Canis lupus familiaris: one gene and its partner. The protein of the gene in region 1 purifies or fractionates together with the protein of each later gene. This does not show direct contact. Links are inferred from orthologs where the notes say so. Each region holds a gene or a part of one and is shown on either strand. Other genes may lie near its edges.

Region 1 (3,748 bases):
AATTCAGTAAATTTAGTGAAGCTAAGAAAAAGGGTGAAATTAATAAAGGGGGGGGAGTGAGTGCTCTGAACTAGCACTTACCAGGGAAGTTTGCTTCATAAAAATTCAGAACTGGCTTTGGGCAGTTGTGACCTCTAACCGTAATTTCCTTACTCCTTCTGTATGTCTCCACCTCTTGCTATAAAACAAATTTTAATAACCTACTAAGTACCATAACAACCTTCACCAATATGCAGTCAGCAGGCCTTAAGTTTATCAAGGATTAGCAAACTGTAACGGGCCATTTAAAATCTATATCCACATATAGAAAACCTACAGAGCACAAGATCCATCTATTGTAGTTATATTTAACCACTCTAAACAGAAAAATTCAAAGATACCACTTGCCAAAGCACCTCCTCTTCCTCGACTATCAGAAAATATGAGTTTTCCAAGGCCTCTGTTCAAATTTCTGTTTACTAAAAGTCACTGTTGAGTTACAGCCCAAGGAAGCCCTGTGAAATTACTCACTGCTGTGCGCCTAGCCAAATCAGGGTGTTCTTGATAAAAATTCTTCTCAAATTTGGGCAGCTCATCAAGATTCCACTTCTTTTTGACTAATTTCTCCCCAGGGTTTCCAAACTTCTTTCCAGATAGGGGCCCTGCCCTACTTCCCCCAAATCGAGGTGCACCAAACCTGAAATTAAAACAAAAAAGTTATATTTTCAACTACCTACTAAGACGTTTACATACAGACTATTTATTGTCCCTTGACACACAGTACAGATAAATGAAAGACTTTTCGAGGTTTAAGACTTAGCACTGTCCTTAGTGATGGGTCATGCTCTCAAAAGCCACAATTAGCACCATCTCTCTCACTTTCCGTTGTCCCAAATACACACTATTGAAGCCAAATCAACAGCCCGGGATTTATCAGGTCGGAAATTGGCTGCCCAAACGCCCCATGTTCAGATTACAAGGATAGACAACAGCTTGTGGCTCCTAGTCTTTCCCGTGAGCTTAGGCATTAAATGTCTGGGGGAGAGACAATACAAGGGAGGTGCGTAACAGCAATGTTATTATCAGCTCTTTCCAAGCCAAGCAGCTTTGGTTCTAAGGAATAATGGGACAGCACCAACGAGAACAGAACAAGGACGGTGGTCTCAGAGACATTTATGCAAGCCCATCGAATTGGGGGGATCCCCCCGGAGGGCTCCTCATCAAGATAGCAAAATTATATAACGCAAAGAAAAAGAGGAGGAGGAGCTGGCAACTACCGGGGGAGGAGTCCCGGACCGGGCGGCGTTCCCGCTGGGGCGGCGCTTCCCCCTTTGTCTCGCATTTCTCTCTGCGCCACATTTTCTCGACGCTGCCATTTTGAGCTCCTCCGCCGGGCGGGGTAACAAAGGCGCCGCCGCCATGTCCGGCGCCGGCATTTTGTACCCGCGGCTCAGCCACATGGCCGATTCCCGCGGTGCCGGCCGCCCTCCTGCTCCCGCGCCATCAATGGCTCGTGAGGCGACCCCTTCGATTACCACAGAACTCCCGGGGCCCCTACAACACTTCCCGAAAAGATGCACCGAACAGCGGTGACTTCGTTCTCCTGAAAGCGTCGCGCTTTCCAACCATTGAAATACACTCCCCCGAATTGTCCCCAACAGCTGCTCAGTCGGCGGGGGCGGGGGCTTCGGCGCCTCCCCCATCCCCCCACCAACAAAAGGCGAGCTTGAGGACCGTTAACAGGGAAACATCCCTCTGTCAGTTCCGGACAAATATCAAAATGGCGCAAGCCTTCGATTCGTAAAGGTTAAATATAGCCGGAAAAAGCCGACTGTCCATCGCCCCCGCCCGCCGCCTCCTTCATCGGCCTCCCATCCCCCACTGCCGGGCCTGACAAGTCCGTTCCCACACTCACCCTCGATCCCGGCCGCGGTCTCGGTCACTCGAATAACCCGACATGGCGTCAATGGTTGCGGTTGGCGGGGAACGAAGTAAAGAGAATCGGGTGCGACGAGTCGCTGCAGGTGGCTTTGGCGATGGCAAAGCCTTGCGGGGGCGGCAGCGGCAGCGGGGCGGCGATGACAGGGGCCGGAGCTGCTCGACAAGAGACCGGTGGAAATGAATGAGGTGCCGGCCGCGTCCCGGCAGCCGGTTTTATAGCCTGGACCGCCTCCTCCGCCGCGGAGAATGCTGGGAGCCGCTCTATGACCTAATCACCCCGCCCCTGCGCAGAGGCCGCAACGCCCGCCGGCGTTCCGGGATCCGCCATGTTCTCGCCCCACCCCCACCCTCCGCTTCCCTCAGAGTCGCCGGCTTGGGGCCCCTTTCACGGCTGGGCCCACCCGCACTGAGACGCCTTAGCCTACTCTGTGTTCTTCACCTTTTTCTCGTCTTTCCACACCTCAAGGAAGCCACCCCGCCCTTTCCCAGGTCTAGCCCTGCCGACAAAATGGCCAGCACAGACCAACCCACTCAGCCCACTTGGAGATGTTTACGTCTCCGAAGAGCCTTCACGCCCCTAACCAAGTGAGACGGGAAGGCGGAGCCTGACATTGTCACGTGACTGCTCCCGCCCATCGGGTAAGCGGACCGCACTACTTCTCCACTTGGCGTCGGCGGAGGAATACGAAACGAAATAGCTCGCCGGAAGTGCCGTACTATTGCCCCCGGGAGGCCGGCCAGGGCCGCTGGGTGACCCGGCCTGTCAAATCCACCCACCTGAGAATCCCTCAGCGGGATCTTGCCCGCGGAGAATGGTACCTAGAGCCCACAAACCGCCGCCTGGGCGCGTGCTGCGAAAGGAAGTCCTCCCGTGATGACCAATCAGCAGCAAGAAGCCGTTTTAACGTCCCTCCCTCTTTCACCCCCTGCCCTTTCGTTTCGTTCTCCCCCCACCTCGGCGTTGCGTCTGCGCTGTGCGGCCCTTCCCGGACGCCGTCCGCCTCGCGCCCAGCTGGAAGTCCGGCAGCGACCTGCCTCCGTGACATGGCCGGCTCAGAGGCTGGTGAGTCTCGGCCCGGAGCCCGGGTGTGTGTGGACTGAAACCCTTTAAGTCCGCCGGACGCTCCTAGGCCTTTTATCTCGAATCCTCCGGCTGGACTCCCTGGGTCTGGGCTGCCGGCGGGGCTGGTGACAGACACCCAGTCGCAGTCGGCGGTTCCGTGGGTTTCTTGGCCCCGCTCTGGGTCCCCCTCCTAGAGGCCATCTAGCGAGATCTTGGGGTGTGGAGAGAAGAACCCCGTGGCGAGGCCCGCAGCACGCCCGCAACCTGGCTGCAAAAAGGGCAGTCGGAAAGCTGCTTCCCGGGACTCGTGTTTCTCTGGGGCATCCAGCCACTGTCAGCGCGCTCTCTGCCTCTTGGATTGTGGGGACTGAGGCCGTTACCTCCATGTGCATTGAAGTTTTGAGGGGAACGGCACTCTAAAGATCTGCTGATGCTCCTGCCACAGTAGGATAGTGGCGGATTTTTCTCTTCAGTGCCCTCTGGAGTTACCTGCATTGTCTAGCAACCGCTTTTGAAAACCGAGTGGGTTGGGTTGTCCGGGACGCTTTTCTTTTCATCCTTTCCTCAGGACAGCGTTCAAACCAGCTCGTGGTTTGGTCAGCTGTGAGAAGTGGGCACGGGGACAGGGAGATAACGTGCCTTGAACGCGCTCAGTTCGTCAAATACGAAGTAGAAGGACTTCTTAACCACCTTAAATTGTATCAGGGAGCAAATAGGTCAGGCTTTAGAAATTACCTTTGTTGGAGAAAGTCGTGAAATAATCTT
Region 2 (3,648 bases), on another chromosome or scaffold:
ATGTAGGCAGTTCAGAGACCAACAGTCCTTGTTAAGTAAGAGGTCTTTCTTTCAATAACATCAGAAAGTACATATTTAAATAAAATAGGTAATGATGAGAAATAATACGTGTTTCTGTTGGTTTTTATGTGTCTATGAATTCTTTCCACAGAGATTCGGGCACTTATAGGGTACCTCATTTTCAACACAGACTTAAAATTATCAACTTAACCACTAGGTTCCAGATGACTCTCGGTCATCCTGCCCCACTGTCCCCAGATCATATGCTTCCTTAGAATGAAGGTTTGTTGCCATTAAGGATATCTAAAGAATGTAATTTATGATTCAGCAGGCCTATTAAAACAGCTGGTTTTATTGCATTTCAGATTCTCCTACTTTTTTTCTGAGATGTCTGTCTGTCCTTTTCCTTAGGTACCAGAAACTGTGGAAGAGTTATGTGAAACTTCGCCACCTCCTAGCAAATAGTCCCAAAGTTAAACAAACTGACAAACAGAAGCTGGCACAAAGAGAGGTTGGTATCAAATCCTGTTCTTCTGGGATTAATGTTGATGTGTTTCATGTTTATTTCAAGATTATTGCATTATACCATACTTCTAGAATAAAATGGAAAAACACTTTTAAAAATACACTTTTCTTTCCTCACATTAGTATACAGATTGATATTTTTTTCATCTTTTAGTATCTAGAGGAGCATTATCACCACCACCACCACCACCACACCAAAAAAGGCCTCTTTCTTAATGGATTCCTACCATTGGGAATAAATATATCTTATAGAGATTTTTCAAATTTTAAAATTGCTGGGTCAACCTTTTATTGTTAATTAGACTGTACATAACACAACTTGGGTCTTGCTCAAATTTCTTGTACTTAAGGTCGTAAAAGATTGCCTTTCATATGTCTTCCATATGTCTGTTAGTTTAGTAGGGTAAACTTCTTTCATAAGGTTTTATGTCCCAAAGTCCATATTTTTTACTAATGGGTAGTATTATCCCTGTACTCCAGGATCATTTTTAAGAATAAATCAATTCAGTATCAACATAAATTTTGTTTCATTGAGGTTTTATTTTGCTTTGGGCAGTGTTAGAGAGCAAGGCTTTGAAGCTGGGAAAAGTGTTTGAATTCTGGTCCAGTCACTTCCTGTGACTTGAGCCAGATAGCTTCATTATAAAGAGAGAACTAGATTAAGGGAGGATGACTGAAATTTGTTTCTGTTGGTGCATCTGGGAAAAAAAGGTGGTTGTGTGGACTTCTGAAATACTCCGTTTAACTTTCCTCCGATGGTGTTTGATCTGTAGTAGGCATTTAATGAGGCAGGTGGTGTGATAGTTCCTGTTGTTATGAACTCTTATGAGATTTTTATTGAATAAGTGTACAAATATAAAATTATTTTTATAATTAATTATTTGAAGGGAGGTAAAAGGGAAGAGTCAGCTCCTTTATATCTTGCAGAAGTTTTAAATCATTGTCTTTTTTAAATAAAAAGGTACCCTTGCTGCAAGAGGTTTTGTAAGGGTTTTGCAAATGAGAAGACAGCTTTTAGAATTATGTGGGTTGCAGATTAGTTTACTGATTGTCTTTCTTAGATGTAAATGCTTAACATAAGGCTTGATATAAATATAATTTTTACATGCTGATTTTAAGTCTCAAACATCACATGTTGTTTCTTTTATCAGCAAAGGGGCATTTTTTGTTTGAACTCACCAGAATGGTCGATTTGGTTTAGATTTTTTCATATCTAGGTACCAGGAAAGGCTGGCATATACCCAAGGCTTTGAGCATCCTGGCCTTCATTTCAAATAAAATATTATAATTTAACATGAAGAGGTTTGAATACCTGAATGTAAGGGTGATATTGAATGAATCCAGCTTATTTTCCAATGCTTGATGTTTGGCTTAATATTGCTTTACAGCTGTCAGTTTACTCATCATAATGAGTTCTTTTCTAGGAAGCACTCCAAAAAATACGACAGAAGAATACAATGAGGCGAGAAGTAACAGTGGAGCTAAGTAGTCAAGGATTTTGGAAAACTGGCATCCGTTCTGATGTCTGTCAGGTGATGACGCCTCTAAGAACACATTTATACCTATATATCTCTTTAAAAGGCATCTGCCACTGAAGTTTTCCTAATGCGGATGAGATGAGTTGCTACAGAACATACAATCTTGTAGCTAAATGGAACACCAACCATAAATTGTTTTCTATTGTTTGGGTTTTGTTTTTGTGTCAGTTTTCATCTTGTTTAGCTGTGTGTGTGTGTGCGTGTGTGTGCCCCTGCATGAATGCATGCATACATGTGCACGGTGGTAGGATGAGTTGGGGGGCAGTTACTTAGTAATGCTAAATTCTGTCTCTGCCTGTTGAGTGAAGGCAAGTGTGTTTTTCAAATGCATCTGCCTGTGTGCAATGCGTGTGGGCGCTTGTCAAAAGAGCGATTCCAGCAGCTGTACAGGCAGACTCCTGAAGATGATGTGTACAGACTTTCCAGACTGATGAGTCAAACTTACATTGCAGAGAACTGAAGGCATTAATGAACAAAATCAGTATGAATTTCATATTTGAGTCAAATGATAACAGATTTTTTCCTTAGATGAACTAATAGAGGAACATTTCAACTATATATAACTCTCACTAATAACTATTTTTGTTTTCCCTATGAGTGGAATTTATAATATATTAGAGACCCCTAAAACCCAACATATTCTCTGACTCTTCACTCAATTCTCTTGTTATGATTGATACTGGTTGTGCTCCATGGGAATTATAGTAAAGGCGAGGAGGTCACCCAGGCAGGGGTCAGGTCAGGTAGTGTAGTGTGCCATGTTCAGCCTTTGGGAAGAATGCTTACAGGCTTCCACTCACTCTTGTTTTGTGTAGCATGTGTTTGGTAATACGTTCAAGCAGTCTTGGGTATTTATTTCATCATAATGAGGTATTTTTTCTTTAAGTCAGTGTTGGCATTTAATTATTATATTGAACAGTGGGATTTAATCTTATTATTAAAGGTACTGCTAGGTGATTCATTTACATTGTGATTCCAGAGCTATATATTTTTGTGTTAAGATGGACTACTGTTGATGCCATGTTACTAGATGGAGAATTAATTCTCTATAGTGGCAGCCAGCTGTATCTACCAAGTTGTCAGTTATTTTGCTAACTGACCAATTTTTTTTTTTTAATTTTTTACTCTAAGTATTCAGAAATGAGTATCTTCTGCTGATTTTTTCTTAGGACCTTGACGCTATATTATCTAATTTTTATTTTCCTCCAAAACAAACATAATGTCATCCTAAGGTAGACAGCATAAGAATGATGAGCAGAGGGTGCCTGGGTGGCTCAGTTAAGCCTCTGCCTTTGGCTCAGGTCATGATTCCCAGGATCCCTGCTCAGTGAGGGGCCTGCTTCTCCCTCTCCTTCTGCCCCTCCCTTCTGCTTGTGATCTCTCTCTCTCTCTCTCATCTTTCTCTTTCCTTCTCAAATAAATAAATAAAATCTTAAAACAAAACCATGAGCAGAATGTTCAACAATCTGCTCAAAATCTGGTCCTCTCAATGATAAGTCAGAGTTGATAGAGACATCATAAAATTGTAGAGCATTATTAACTGGAAGGGACCTTAGAGATCTTTCAGCTCAGTGAATTTTAAACT

The links. The genes of interacting proteins can lie anywhere in the genome.
Region 2: the proteins of DDX5 (region 1) and DROSHA purify together in Homo sapiens (co-immunoprecipitation; 4 studies listed by BioGRID and IntAct, with this or other methods). This does not show direct contact. The link is inferred for Canis lupus familiaris from reciprocal best matches to the Homo sapiens genes DDX5 and DROSHA.

The regions. Positions count from the first base shown.
Region 1 is NC_049230.1:14,616,425-14,620,172, reverse strand, and holds the start of DDX5 (probable ATP-dependent RNA helicase DDX5), read right to left. Parts: upstream 2,726-3,748; 5' UTR 2,698-2,725; exon of another isoform or gene 2,254-2,697; intron 2,074-2,253; 5' UTR 1,939-2,073; coding exon 1,895-1,938; intron 677-1,894; coding exon 511-676; intron 179-510; coding exon 82-178; intron 1-81. Other genes in the region: CEP95 (centrosomal protein of 95 kDa), read left to right, coding at 2,965-2,983. UniProt on the Homo sapiens protein: Involved in the alternative regulation of pre-mRNA splicing; its RNA helicase activity is necessary for increasing tau exon 10 inclusion and occurs in a RBM4-dependent manner. Binds to the tau pre-mRNA in the stem-loop region downstream of exon 10.
Region 2 is NC_049225.1:76,748,313-76,751,960, forward strand, and holds part of DROSHA (ribonuclease 3), read left to right. Parts: intron 1-411; coding exon 412-511; intron 512-1,949; coding exon 1,950-2,057; intron 2,058-3,648. UniProt on the Homo sapiens protein: Ribonuclease III double-stranded (ds) RNA-specific endoribonuclease that is involved in the initial step of microRNA (miRNA) biogenesis.